Linked DNA regions of Xenopus tropicalis. The protein of the gene in region 1 interacts with the protein of each later gene in a biochemical or structural test. Links are inferred from orthologs where the notes say so. Each region holds a gene or a part of one and is shown on either strand. Other genes may lie near its edges.

Region 1 (7,528 bases):
ACAGAATGCCTCAGCCTAAAAACACTCCCACTGCTTTGTGAGGATATAAATACAAATGCAGAGACAAAGAATGCTCTGTGCACAGGGTAAGCCACAGCTTAACACTTCGCTGCTTATTTAAAGAATAAGCTGTACATGCTAATACGTGTCTACACTTTTTTCATTAGGGTCTCTAAGTAAAATCTTTCTGCCCCATAAGCATCTATGAAACTTGAAAATTGCCCTTTTAATGTTATACAATAGAGGGGCTAACCAAACCTTCTCATGCAAAACAATGTGATATTTTCTGTAACGCACCCTGCACATTTAATTTGACTTATAAAGAAGCACGAGTAGTGGCATGCCCCAGAACTCTGATTAGACTTGCCTGGAGCAGCTACGCTTCATACATTAATATATCTGCATCACACTTTTATCAGGCTCACAATTTGGAAAACCAACCAGGTATTCCAGTTAAATTAGGTTATAAAAATTGCACATACTAAAATTACCCGAACCCTACTGACTGGTTAGATGCTGGCAGATGAACAGGTGTGAATATTACTGAAAGCATAATTTTCCTGGGTTGTTGCATTGGTGCCCACTACCTCCATCTTTCTCCTTTGCCTATGTCACCATACATAGATTATAGTTTTGCCCTCCCCTCTTTTCTAATTTTCCTTTCTCACTTTTCTCTTCTCTGCTCTTCTTTCCTTTATCTATCGTTCTAACTATTATTCATTATATTATTCACTTTATTGAAATACCACTGTCATGCATGTTATAAAGTGATTTACAGAAACATTAGGCCTTGTTCCAGCAGAGCTTACAGTCTAAAATCCCTGACATACACACACAAACCCAGCCAATTTATTTAAGGATTGGTTAACATACCTGTATAATTTTGAGTAAGGGGGAGAAAACTGGAAGTACTCAGAGGAAATAGGGAGAACATGAAACCACCTTGCAAATAATGCCCAGGTCAGAACCAAGCCAGAACTGCAACAAGGTTGCAATACTAACCACTGAGCCACCATGCTGAGAAATAGAACAGACAGACAGATCCACAACACAAAGAGGTGCACACCAAACAATGTAAATATATTTATAAACCTAACGTCATCAGGCGCATGTATTGGTCAAATTATTGCTAAAAATTACAGCTACACAAACCCTATTAATATTTACAGTACAAATTACAATTTTCATTATTCATTACTTGTATCTTTTTTTAAACAGTGTAAAAAAATCAGCCTTGTACATATTAAGGTTAGTGCCACACAGGGAAAATTCCCAGTCTGCTAATAAGTGCGGGCCAAGAATCTGCCCCTATACTTTAAAAATCTTAGTTGTGCTTGCACCCGAAAGCATTGTTTCAGCCCTGGTGCAGCCACAGGCAGCGTATTTCAGCCCCGAATTGCATACGCAGTTTCTGGTTGAAATACCCTGCATGTGTCTGCACCCGGGTCAAAGCAATGCTTCCGGGAGCAGACACAACTTTCAGATTCTTCAAGCATAGAGGCGGATTCTCAAAAATGACATGCATATAGGTCTGCAACACAGATTAAAATGTGCTATCCTGCCGACCTGATATCTGCATGGAAAACAAAGTGGGCTTTGATGTGGTGAACTGAGCAGTTGGGAAAAGGAAAAATGATGTCAGACATACTACTGCTAGGAGTGGCCTGCATATGTTTGCCAAGATCCATTCATTAAAAGTTAACACCCTAGCCTGAAGCAAGTTCTCCTAGACACAATCCTGCCAAGTGTGGAGCAGCAGGCATGGCAACTCCAGCTGCTGGATGGATAGAGAGGACAGACCCTCACATTAGTCTCTGGCCCAGTAGAGCTTAATCTATGATCCCTAGGGGTAGGCAGAAGAGGCAGCTGCCTAGGGCTCAACAATTAGGGGGCTAAAGGCAGGAGCCTCTCCTGCCTACCCCTAGTCCTCCTCCTCTGTCATTGCCCCCACCGCGTGTCATTAGCGAGGTGCCCGACAGGGTTGCCTAGGGCGCCCAGTCGGCTTGGCCCGCCCCTGACACATAAGGGCGAAGACACACTAAGCTACTTAGTAGCAGCTACTAAATGCCAGAATATACCATGCCATAGACAATACTGAGAACTGCCTCTGCTAAAACACATGTAGAGACAGTTATCAGTAAATGATCATCATTTTAGTAGTCACAACAAGTAGCTGTGTGTTTCCACCCTTAGGGTCAGTTTCATTAGGAGACAAATAACCTGCTTGTACCTGCCCCAGAGCTTAATCTACGATTCCTATCATATTCTAGTGTGCATAACCAGAGATATACCCTTCCAGACAAGGACAGAGCGTATGCCTTCCTTGAAGATAAATTCAAAAATACCTAAGGGCAAGGGCACATGGGGTCGATTATCAGCCAGCATATAAGCACGGGATGACAATCCGCCCCTACACTACACCCCCACTACGCAGGCCGAGAATCAGCCCAGTGTGGCATTAGCTTTAAATGTTCCGGTCATTTGAATATAGGATAACAATGTTGCGTGATAAGGCTGTACACAGCTCTGTTGGGGGACATCAGTTAGCAAATAATGTTGTTGTAAGTTAAAAGCAGATCAGTGAATCTGTTAAATAGATAATGGTTTTGCTGATGCAAAACTGACTATCCCTCATTCCAGGCAGAAGCAAGTGATTGTATTCTTTCAGCTGCTGTGAAGGGCAGGGGAAGGGTGGCAGACAAGAAGGTCTGAAACCCAGCACAGACCCTTTTCCATGTGCCACTTGAAAATGAAATCCCAGTTGGTTAACCAATATTCTGATAGTGGCCCCTAAGACCACATGACAGACAGGTTAGTGCCTCTGGAAATATCCAGCAGCGTGGTTCACCTGGATGTCACAGCCGAGACTTGTGAGGCTATTCCCCACAAATACTGAATGTGTCATATTAAAGGTGACTTAGTCAACCAATGTAAAAGGTAACCAAGTGTAAAATTATCCTAGATCAAAATCTGTGCTTTGATGTGTTTGTGTGGAGAGGGTTGAAGGAAACACTGTTCGGTACATGTAAAAGTGTATAACAATATGATCTATTAACAGTTCTGCCATGATGGTAGCCGCATAGGCAACATTAAGGGCGAAGACACGCGTAGCAATTAGTAGCCGCAACTTAACTAAAATTTGTGGCGACTAATTCGCACAGCAAAAACGCAGCGAGATTAGTCGCAGCGACTTTTATAATAACTTATGGCAGGAAAGTCGCTGCAACCAACTTTTTAAAAAGTTGCATGACTAATCGCCACATGTGTCTTTGCCTTAATGCCAACTACTGCAACCTTAAAGGAAACATATAGGATAAATGAAAAAAAAAAAAACTCTTATCTTGTAGGCAATTATGAATAATAAATGGTGCTATCCATACACAATCAAAATCCAGCCAACCTCTACTGTATACAGTACTATAGGCAGCACTACCCTCCATACGCACTATACATAAGGCCTGCAGACAGCATCTAGCTCTCTGAGGATTATTTCATGATACCAAACCTGCTTATGAGCTCCAAAGACTGCCTTTTGTGATATAATAATGTCCTAATTTGGTCAATAAATGTCAAGTAAAATTTCTAACCAGCCCACAACCTGTAAAATGTCACATCTCTTACTTTGTGACTCCTGATCTTGCCCAACCCCACCGCTACACCAGGCCTCTCATACACTCTTTTCTTCTAAGCTATTTTGGGCAGGGCCCTTTAACGCTTTATTTTTGGATATTTAATGAATGCGTTTCATCCATGGGGGCCCTCTTTACCACTCTATTTTCCAAATCTATTCGGCATGTTTGATGCATAGAACCTTCCACGGCACAGTGCTGCAGAAATATTAGCTTTATAAACGCATGTTAATAGTTAATAATAAATGTTAGGTATCAGTTCTGTACAATGTGGGTATCAGTTCTGTGCAATTAGTACCAGCAGTGTATCTCAGCTATAGTTGCTGTCAGTCCCAACCCCCCCACACACACACTGCCCATGTTCCCTGCATGCAATAGGTTTGCCCACAGGTATCCCTCCCTTCCATATTCTCTCCCTGCACCATGTGTATGGTGGGCTGGGCTGAGAAGTTACTGTATAAATTGGATGAAGAGTACATACGCAGCAAGTCACTTGTGCCAAAAAGACAGAAACATGAAATACATGCCTGCCTACTCCCATCCGCCCCAAGAAGTTACCTTGCGGCAGCCCTGCCCTGCTTGCATGAATACAGGCGGACACTTCCCCCGCAGGGTGAGCTCCGTGGCAGGAAGCACTAGGGAAAGCGTCAGCCCTCTCCTCATCACTTTCCCACATCCAGCAAACAAGCAGCAAACAGAGAGAGGCCACCCTGCCCCGCAGCCCGTATACAACACACTAGTCCTGCAAGGGCACAGCCAACCCACTGGCCCCTGCCCATTCTAATAAAGGTACCACTTACAGCCATAGTGGGGACGAACGAGCCCATCTACTTCCTCCGAAACGGACATGGTGCTGGCAGATAACGTCCAGATCTGACCTGAACTAGTTTTATGCCCCGAAAAGGGCCAGGGATGGTGAGAGCAAATACCGCAGAGCCCACAGGAACACTCAGCCAACTTCAGAGGAGGTAAAAGAGATTCCTCAGTCACTGAGAGGGAGCCGGGTGTGGCTGCCCGCCCCTTCAACCACTCAGCCTATCAGGAAGCAGAATGACTGGGGCAGCTTCCTAAAAGTAAGTCTCTCAGTCAGATACACTTTGCATGGCCGGATCTGCACCCTTTGTGGGATGCCTGCTGAGTCAAATGGGGAAAAGTCATTCAGGGTTGTCATTTTTTTCATTCGACTATACTTCGCCCTGTGCCTCTTTGCTTTTCACATACAACTCAGGGAGTGCACTACCCGTTCTGCTGTAGAGAGCTGGGATGTTATTGGATCTATTCGGCAGTTTGACCAATCAGAGATCGGTTCTCATGCAGACGGGAATGGGCGTGTGAAAAGAAGTCTTTGCAGAGCGGCCAGACACTGAGAGAAGGGAAAGCTGGCAGGGAGGGAAGCAGCTCTGGGTTTCTGTCCCAAGCAGGAATGTAGAGAGGTGAGAGGGGGAGGAGTAGGTGCTTGAGAGATCACAGCAAGGTTATTATTTGTGACAGTGAGGTGGTTAATGACACCTGGTTTTATTATAAAATAGAGGAGGGAAGGTGAGTTCTCCTTGAACCCAGCTTAGTACAGGCAAGGTGATTATTTGGGGGCCTTTTTGCTAATTTACAAGCCTCTTAGCTCAAAGGCATTCCCTACATAGAGGGGAGGGACAGAAGGCTGAAGGTTGAAGAGGTGTCTCAGTGGACATTGGAGAGAAGGGGCCCAGTGAATGAGGATCAGATTGTGTGAGACTAGCTGCAGTAGTGTGACTTAGGTGTAGTAGGGGGTAGCTAGTATTAACTGTCCTAAGATGCCCTGCACTGAGATGCAGTATTATGGGGTTACTAAGGGCTGGGGGTAGCAGATATAACCTAACCTTGGACGGAAGCACCACTGTGAGGACCTTATTACACTCTCAACATATGAAGGCCAATTTCATTAGCTAATTGAGTATACAGGGGGGGCAGTCGTCCCAGGCCCAGGCAATCTTCACTTTTAAAGGGGGCCCGGCCATGCTACAGTTTTCTGACTAGCTTGGGCCCCTTTGAATCTATTACGGCCCTGTCATCCGTGACGTCAGTATGCACGGGCGCAATCTTATAAAAGGTCTCGCAGCGGAGCCCAGAGCTGCTGCCGTCGCAGAAGCCACCACCACTGCAGATGAAGCCGCCACAGAAAAAGCAGCCAAAGAAGAAGCCACAGATTGGGGGCACTGTGTAAGGGGACAATTGGGGGCACTCTCTTTGGGGGCCCTGGCCAGCATAGCATATGGGGGGCACTGTGTATGGGGGCCCTGGCCAGCATAGCATTGGGGGGCCCTGGCCAGCATAGCATTTTGGGGGCCCTTTTACTTTTTATGTCTGTGTGTCCTTTGTACTGATGGGAGGGGGCATTGAGGAGGGGGGCCCAGAAAATTTTGTTGTGACGGGCCCCGTGATTTCTGATGGCGGCTCTGTTTGTATCTTAGTAAAGTACCATCCTTAAGAACTTCACTGCCACATCTCAAGTAGGAACTAGCTAACACCTGCTGCAAGTTAAGTCTGATATTTGTTTATACAAACCAGAGCCAGGCCAGAAAGTACAGACTGGTACCCCAGGAAAGGAAACCTACTCGTTGCCCCCCCTCTTACCCAGTTCGCTCACCATCAAACGCCACTCCCTAGAGTTAGAAAATGCAACAGAGGTATCCTAGTGCCCCCCTTTCCCCTAGCCTTGAAACAAATTATTTTTGAATATCAACATGTCTTTCAGCTTCTGTTTCAGAGTTATTCTAAAAGTATTTACAACAAGGGTATGACTAGTGTCTTCATGTTATGTTAAATATGCAGCAGTTGACCTATGCACATTTTTGTCCCTTTGTGTAATAAATATGAATAATATATTTTGTGGTGCAGGGAAGATGCAATGGAAATGTCTGCCATCTTCTGGATGAGTGGTTGAAATTCACTTTAGAAAATAACTAAAAATCTTTCTTGTTTCTTTGAAAAATGTTCTAATTTTTATACTGCTATCCATCAATACAATACTAAAAGAAATGCATTTTATTAAAGTTGATAGGTTTGGTAAAAATACTGAATGGGTCTGCATACTGGGGATTTTGGGAGTCTAGATATTTATTATTAACTTGTTGCGGCAAAAATCACTATAAATTCAGTAGGGCAAATAAAAATATGGTTTAAAAACCCTCTATTGAAATGGTCATATATATATATATCAAATATTAGGCTAGGTACATGTGTTTCAGAAAAAAAGACTCTTATTTTAATAGTAGTGTCCCTTTAATAAGTAAGAGTGCTGGTTGCAAATGTTAAATGTAGTAAATTCTTTATCTCCTTAATTACTATAAAATCTGCATGCTTTCTAGAATCCTTTCTAGTTTTTTAATTATTTAAAAAAAAAATCTGTAGTTCTCAGGCTAGGAATTTAAACTATTATTTGGTTGATAGGGGTCAGTTACTCTAGCATCCAGGGTGCAATTTTGAAATAAAAAAAGATGAATACAAACTTGCCTGAAAAGAAAATAAGCAAGTAAATCCAAGAATGCAAATAATATTGAAGCCTCACAGTCAGGCTGTTGTGTGGTTGCTAAGGTTTGTAACCCCCAACAACAATATAGCGTTTTCAGCTCCAGGACAGAATGCCAAAGCAAGAAAGCTAATAATTCAAAAACAATGAAAATCAGATAAGGCTGCTTAGAATAGCCCACCTATAACATACTAAACATTAATTTAAAGGAAAATTTCAACTTTAATATAATTCCAGTGGCTTCTATGGGATATCAAGCAAATGAGTAACAGCTTTTACCTAGCCCCATAAATATAAGTTTTATTCTTACTTTGTTAAATAGGGAACTATGACATCTGATTCTCAAAATGATAGAATTCTCGCTTGACCTATGTCAAACTGAATAAAAATTGAT
Region 2 (7,558 bases), about 100 Mb from region 1:
AATTATTAGGCACTTATTGCCTTTATATGGGCACAGAACCCCTCAGTGACTGCGAATATCCTTATCATTTACAGTAGGGGGTACATTATCCCTTATAATACATGAGTGATACTCAGAGTTCCCTGTATAACTCAGCCTGCAGCCTTGTGCCTTTATATGGGCACAGAACCCCTCAGTGACTGCTAATATCCTTATCATTTACAGTAGGGGGTACAGTATCCCTTATAATACATGAGTGATACTCAGAGTTCCCTGTATAACTCAGCCTGCAGCCTTGTGCCTTTATATGGGGGGCACAGAACCCCTCAGTGACTGCTAATATCCTTATCATTTACAGTAGGGGGTACATTATCCCTTATAATACATGAGTGATACTCAGAGTTCCCTGTATAACTCAGCCTGCAGCCTTGTGCCTTTATATGGGCACAGAACCCCTCAGTGACTGCTAATATCCTTATCATTTACAGTAGGGGGTACATTATCCCTTATAATACATGAGTGATACTCAGAGTTCCCTGTATAACTCAGCCTGCAGCCTTGTGCCTTTATATGGGGGGCACAGAGCCCCTCAGTGACTGCTAATATCCTTATCATTTACAGTAGGGGGTACATTATCCCTTATAATACATGAGTGATACTCAGAGTTCCCTGTATAACTCAGCCTGCAGCCTTGTGCCTTTATATGGGCACAGAACCCCTCAGTGACTGCTAATATCCTTATCATTTACAGTAGGGGGTACATTATCCCTATAATACATGAGTGATACTCAGAGTTCCCTGTATAACTCAGCCTGCAGCCTTGTGCCTTTATATGGGGGGCACAGAACCCCTCAGTGACTGCGAATATCCTTATCATTTACAGTAGGGGGTACATTATCCCTTATAATACATGAGTGATACTCAGAGTTCCCTGTATAACTCAGCCTGCAGCCTTGTGCCTTTATATGGGGGGCACAGAACCCCTCAGTGACTGCTAATATCCTTATCATTTACAGTAGGGGGTACATTATCCCTTATAATACATGAGTGATACTCAGAGTTCCCTGTATAACTCAGCCTGCAGCCTTGTGCCTTTATATGGGGGGCACAGAACCCCTCAGTGACTGCTAATATCCTTATCATTTACAGTAGGGGGTACATTATCCCTTATAATACATGAGTGATACTCAGAGTTCCCTGTATAACTCAGCCTGCAGCCTTGTGCCTTTATATGGGCACAGAACCCCTCAGTGACTGCTAATATCCTTATCATTTACAGTAGGGGGTACATTATCCCTTATAATACATGAGTGATACTCAGAGTTCCCTGTATAACTCAGCCTGCAGCCTTGTGCCTTTATATGGGCACAGAACCCCTCAGTGACTGCTAATATCCTTATCATTTACAGTAGGGGGTACATTATCCCTTATAATACATGAGTGATACTCAGAGTTCCCTGTATAACTCAGCCTGCAGCCTTGTGCCTTTATATGGGCACAGAACCCCTCAGTGACTGCGAATATCCTTATCATTTACAGTAGGGGGTACATTATCCCTTCACAATAAGTGCAACACAGTAGCAGCTCTCCCTTGCTATAAAAACTCAAATAAAAGAAGTAACTTTCTCCATTGCTACAAAGTAGTCACATATAGATCTATACTGTACAAATAATATTATCTATAGAGAGAATGGTACGGCCCGGACACTGAGTGACACAAATAGATCTATACTGTACAAATAATATTATATAAAGAGTGATAGATACATATAGATCTATAGTGTATCTATATATATATATATATATATATATATATATATATATATATATATATATATATATATATATATATATTATATAAAGAGTGATACAACCCAGACACCAAGAGACACAGATACAGATCTATACTGCACATATAGTTATTCTATAGGGAGAGTGGTACAGCCCAGACAAAGAGTGACACATATAGGTCTATACTGTACATATATTACATAGAGAATGGTATAGTCCAGACACACACATATATATAGCTATACTGCACATGTAATATCAGATAGAGTGGTACAGCCCAGACAGTCAGTGACACAGACACATATATAGATATATTGTACAGGTAATATTATATAGAGTGGTACAGCCCAGGCACTGAGGGACAGACACATTTATAGATATATTGTACAGGTAATATTATATAGAGTGGTACAGCCCAGGCACTGAGGGGCACAGACACATATATATATATATATATAAATATATATATTGTACAGGTAATATTATATAGAGTGGTACAGCCCAGGCACTGAGGGACACAGACACACATATATATATATATATATATATATAAATATATATATTGTACAGGTAATATTATATAGAGTGGTACAGCCCAGGCACTGAGGGGCACAGACACATATATATATATATATATATAAATATATATATTGTACAGGTAATATTATATAGAGTGGTACAGCCCAGGCACTGAGGGACACAGACACACACATATATATATATATATATAAATATATATATTGTACAGGTAATATTATATAGAGTGGTACAGCCCAGGCACTGAGGGGCACAGACACATATATAGATATATTGTACAGGTAATATTATATAGAGTGGTAAAGCCCAGGCACTGAGGGGCACAGACACATATATATATATATATATATAAATATATATATTGTACAGGTAATATTATATAGAGTGGTACAGCCCAGGCACTGAGGGACACAGACACATATATATATATATATATATATATAAATATATATATTGTACAGGTAATATTATATAGAGTGGTAAAGCCCAGGCACTGAGGGACACAGATACATATATAGATATATTGTACAGGTAATATTATATAGAGTGGTACAGCCCAGGCACTGAGGGACAGACACATATATAGATATATTGTACAGGTAATATTATATAGAGTGGTACAGCCCAGGCACTGAGGGACAGATACATATATAGATATATTGTACAGGTAATATTATATAGAGTGGTACAGCCCAGGCACTGAGGGACACAGACACACATATATATATATATATATATAAATATATATATATTGTACAGGTAATATTATATAGAGTGGTACAGCCCAGGCACTGAGGGGCACAGACACATATATAGATATATTGTACAGGTAATATTATATAGAGTGGTAAAGCCCAGGCACTGAGGGACACAGATACATATATAGATATATTGTACAGGTAATATTATATAGAGTGGTACAGCCCAGGCACTGAGGGACACAGACACATATATAGATATATTGTACAGGTAATATTATATAGAGTGGTACAGCCCAGGCACTGAGGGACAGACACATATATAGATATATTGTACAGGTAATATTATATAGAGTGGTACAGCCCAGGCACTGAGGGACACAGATACATATATAGATATATTGTACAGGTAATATTATATAGAGTGGTACAGCCCAGGCACTGAGGGACACAGACACATATATAGATATATTGTACAGGTAATATTATATAGAGTGGTACAGCCCAGGCACTGAGGGACAGACACATATATAGATATATTGTACAGGTAATATTATATAGAGTGGTACAGCCCAGGCCACTGAGGGACACAGATACATATATAGATATATTGTACAGGTAATATTATATAGAGTGGTACAGCCCAGGCACTGAGGGACAGACACATATATAGATATATTGTACAGGTAATATTATATAGAGTGGTACAGCCCAGGCACTGAGGGACAGACACATATATAGATATATTGTACAGGTAATATTATATAGAGTGGTACAGCCCAGGCACTGAGGGACAGACACATATATAGATATATTGTACAGGTAATATTATATAGAGTGGTAAAGCCCAGGCACTGAGGGACAGACACATATATAGATATATTGTACAGGTAATATTATATAGAGTGGTACAGCCCAGGCACTGAGGGACAGATACATATATATATATATATATAGATCTATAAGGTACGTATATTATTATAAAGGGAGAATGGTACAGTCCGGACAGAGATAAACCACTGGCTGAGGGGGGGACCCCTGCACATTAGTATAGCCTAGGCCCCCCCCATTCCCCAACTCCACCCCTATCCCTCACCCTCTCACCTCCTCCGGGTACCCCCCGGACGCACACATCTCGCCGGCTCCGCCCAGTCCCCCGGTCTCGGACTCCAGCAGGTCCCCGTTGAGCAGTGAGGGCCCCTCGGTTGATCCCCCACTTACCGCCGCCATCTTGAAGTGGTCCGGAGGCGCGGGAGCGAGCATGAGGGATACTATGGTGCGCGCACCCGCTCGGCCGACCCAGGTCTTCCCAGGCTTCGGAGAGGGAGGGGCGGACTGAGCGTGCGCGTACCCGACAACAGCGCGTCCAATCAGAAAGCAGAGGGGCGGCGCTAACTAGGGGGTTTATTTACGTCAGACCGGGGAGAACCCTCTGCCGCTAGCTCCGCCCCGCTGTGCAGGTGCAGTAAGCGCGTACCCCGGAGCATCCCTGACGTCATGTATTCATTTTCCGTCCACTGAAGTATTATACGGGCCGGTACCTCACACAGCAGTCTGTAACCGGGCTGATTTCCCTCAGGGACCCCAGGGCTTATTTGTGCCTGTTACCCCAATGTTTCTATATATCTGTAACCTTGTTATGGGCTAAGGGGGCCCAGCCTGAAGGCCAGTTAGGGGGGATTTGGGGTGAGTGCTTATTTGTGCCCTGGGTACCCCTGGAACTATAGCAGGGTGACTGTTACCCCAATGTTTCTATATATCTGTAACCTTGTTATGGGCTAAGGGGGCCCAGCCTGAAGGCCAGTTAGGGGGGGATTTGGGGTGAGTGCTTATTTGTGCCCTGGGTACCCCTGGAACTATAGCGGGGTGACTGTTACCCCAATGTTTCTATATATCTGTAACCTTGTTATGGGCTAAGGGGGCCCAGCCTGAAGGCCAGTTAGGGGGGGATTTGGGGTGAGTGCTTATTTGTGCCCTGGGTACCCCTGGAACTATAGCGGGGTGACTGTTACCCCAATGTTTCTATATATCTGTAACCTTGTTATGAGCTAAGGGGGCCCAGCCTGAAGGCCAGTTAGGGGGGGATTTGGGGTGAGTGCTTATTTGTGCCCTGGGTACCCCTGGAACTATAGCAGGGTGACTGTTACCCCAATGTTTCTATATATCTGTAACCTTGTTATGGGCTAAGGGGGCCCAGCCTGAAGGCCAGTTAGGGGGGGATTTGGGGTGAGTGCTTATTTGTGCCCTGGGTACCCCTGGAACTATAGCGGGGTGACTGTTACCCCAATGTTTCTATATATCTGTAACCTTGTTATGGGCTAAGGGGGCCCAGCCTGAAGGCCAGTTAGGGGGGGATTTGGGGTGAGTGCTTATTTGTGCCCTGGGTACCCCTGGAACTATAGCGGGGTGACTGTTACCCCAATGTTTCTATATATCTGTAACCTTGTTATGGGCTAAGGGGGCCCAGCCTGAAGGCCAGTTAGGGGGGGATTTGGGGTGAGTGCTTATTTGTGCCCTGGGTACCCCTGGAACTATAGCGGGGTGACTGTTACCCCAATGTTTCTATATATCTGTAACCTTGTTATGGGCTAAGGGGGCCCAGCCTGAAGGCCAGTTAGGGGGGATTTGGGGTGAGTGCTTATTGTGAATATTGCTAGAACATAGCTCAACACACCACCATATTACACACTCAGAGCTGACAGTAGCCCCTGGGGAAATATTGCCTGTTAAAATGCTCACTGGGAGGAGTATAACACCTTGCACTCACCTTATATGCACCTGTTATAGAGATCAGCCAACAACCCTGCTAGGATTGTGAGGGAAATACACATCTGCTCATAGTTCTACCTATAGTATACATAAATATAATTGTTTATATGAAAGAGCCCCATGTACAAAGCTCCTTATACCTGTCTTATTTTCACAGACTCCTTCCCAGTAACTGAATGTGTCTTCTGGGAAGGGACTGGGGCTGTGGGATAGCAGGTATCCCCCCCAAGTGTAAGCAGCAGTCCTGCCCTGCTTTATGGCTGAGATTCTAGCTATCTGTATAACAGAGCATTCTGTCACAGTGGCACAGATCCTATCTGATCCCCCCCAAGTGTAAGCAGCAGTCCTGCCCTGCTTTATGGCTGAGATTCTAGCTATCTGTATAACAGAGCATTCTGTCACAATGGCACAGATCCTATCTGATCCCCCCCCCCCATTGTAAGCAGCAGTCCTGCCCTGCTTTATGGCTGAGATTCTAGCTATCTGTATAACAGAGCATTCTGTCACAATGGCACAGATCCTATCTGATCCCCCCCCCCATTGTAAGCAGCAGTCCTGCCCTGCTTTATGGCTGAGATTCTAGCTATCTGTATAACAGAGCATTCTGTCACAGTGGCACAGATCCTATCTGATCCCCCCCATTGTAAGCAGCAGTCCTGCCCTGCTTTATGGCTGAGATTCTAGCTATCTGTATAACAGAGCATTTTGTCACAATGGCACAGATCCTATCTGATCCCCCCCCCATTGTAAGCAGCAGCCCTGCCCTGCTTTATGGCTGAGATTCTAGCTATCTGTATAACAGAGCATTCTGTCACAATGGCACAGATCCTATCTGATCCCCCCCCCCATTGTAAGCAGCAGTCCTGCCCTGCTTTATGGCTGAGATTCTAGCTATCTGTATAACAGAGCATTCTGTCACAGTGGCACAGATCCTATCTGATCCCCCCCATTGTAAGCAGCAGTCCTGCCCTGCTTTATGGCTGAGATTCTAGCTATCTGTATAACAGAGCATTTTGTCACAATGGCACAGATCCTATCTGATCCCCCCCCCCATTGTAAGCAGCAGTCCTGCCCTGCTTTATGGCTGAGATTCTAGCTATCTGTATAACAGAGCATTCTGTCACAGTGGCACAGATCCTATCTGATCCCCCCCATTGTAAGCAGCAGTCCTGCCCTGCTTTATGGCTGAGATTCTAGCTATCTGTATAACAGAGCATTCTGTCACAGTGGCACAGATCCTATCTGATCCCTCCCATTGTAAGCAGCAGTCCTGCCCTGCTTTATGGCTGAGATTCTAGCTATCTGTATAACAGAGCATTCTGTCACAGTGGCACAGATCCTATCTGATCCCTCCCATTGTAAGCAGCAGTCCTGCCCTGCTTTATGGCTGAGATTCTAGCTATCTGTATAACAGAGCATTCTGTCACAGTGGCACAGATCCTATCTGATCCCCCCCATTGTAAGCAGCAGTCCTGCCCTGCTTTATGGCTGAGATTCTAGCTATCTGTATAACAGAGCATTCTGTCACAGTGGCACAGATCCTATCTGATCCCCCCATTGTAAGCAGCAGTCCTGCCCTGCTTTATGGCTGAGATTCTAGCTATCTGTATAACAGAGCATTCTGTCACAGTGGCACAGATCCTATCTGATCCCCCCATTGTAAGCAGCAGTCCTGCCCTGCTTTATGGCTGAGATTCTAGCTATCTGTATAACAGAGCATTCTGTCACAGTGGCACAGATCCTATCTGATCCCTCCCATTGTAAGCAGCAGTCCTGCCCTGCTT

What was found. The genes of interacting proteins can lie anywhere in the genome.
Region 2: the proteins of iqgap1 (region 1) and braf form a complex in vitro, tested with the Homo sapiens proteins (2 studies listed by BioGRID and IntAct). The link is inferred for Xenopus tropicalis from reciprocal best matches to the Homo sapiens genes IQGAP1 and BRAF.

Annotation. Positions count from the first base shown.
Region 1 is NC_030679.2:106,914,403-106,921,930, forward strand, and holds the start of iqgap1 (ras GTPase-activating-like protein IQGAP1), read right to left. Parts: upstream 4,816-7,528; 5' UTR 4,479-4,815; coding exon 4,430-4,478; intron 1-4,429. UniProt on the Homo sapiens protein: Plays a crucial role in regulating the dynamics and assembly of the actin cytoskeleton.
Region 2 is NC_030679.2:5,554,300-5,561,857, forward strand, and holds the start of braf (serine/threonine-protein kinase B-raf), read right to left. Parts: upstream 4,358-7,558; 5' UTR 4,269-4,357; coding exon 4,110-4,268; intron 1-4,109. UniProt on the Homo sapiens protein: Protein kinase involved in the transduction of mitogenic signals from the cell membrane to the nucleus. Phosphorylates MAP2K1, and thereby activates the MAP kinase signal transduction pathway. Phosphorylates PFKFB2.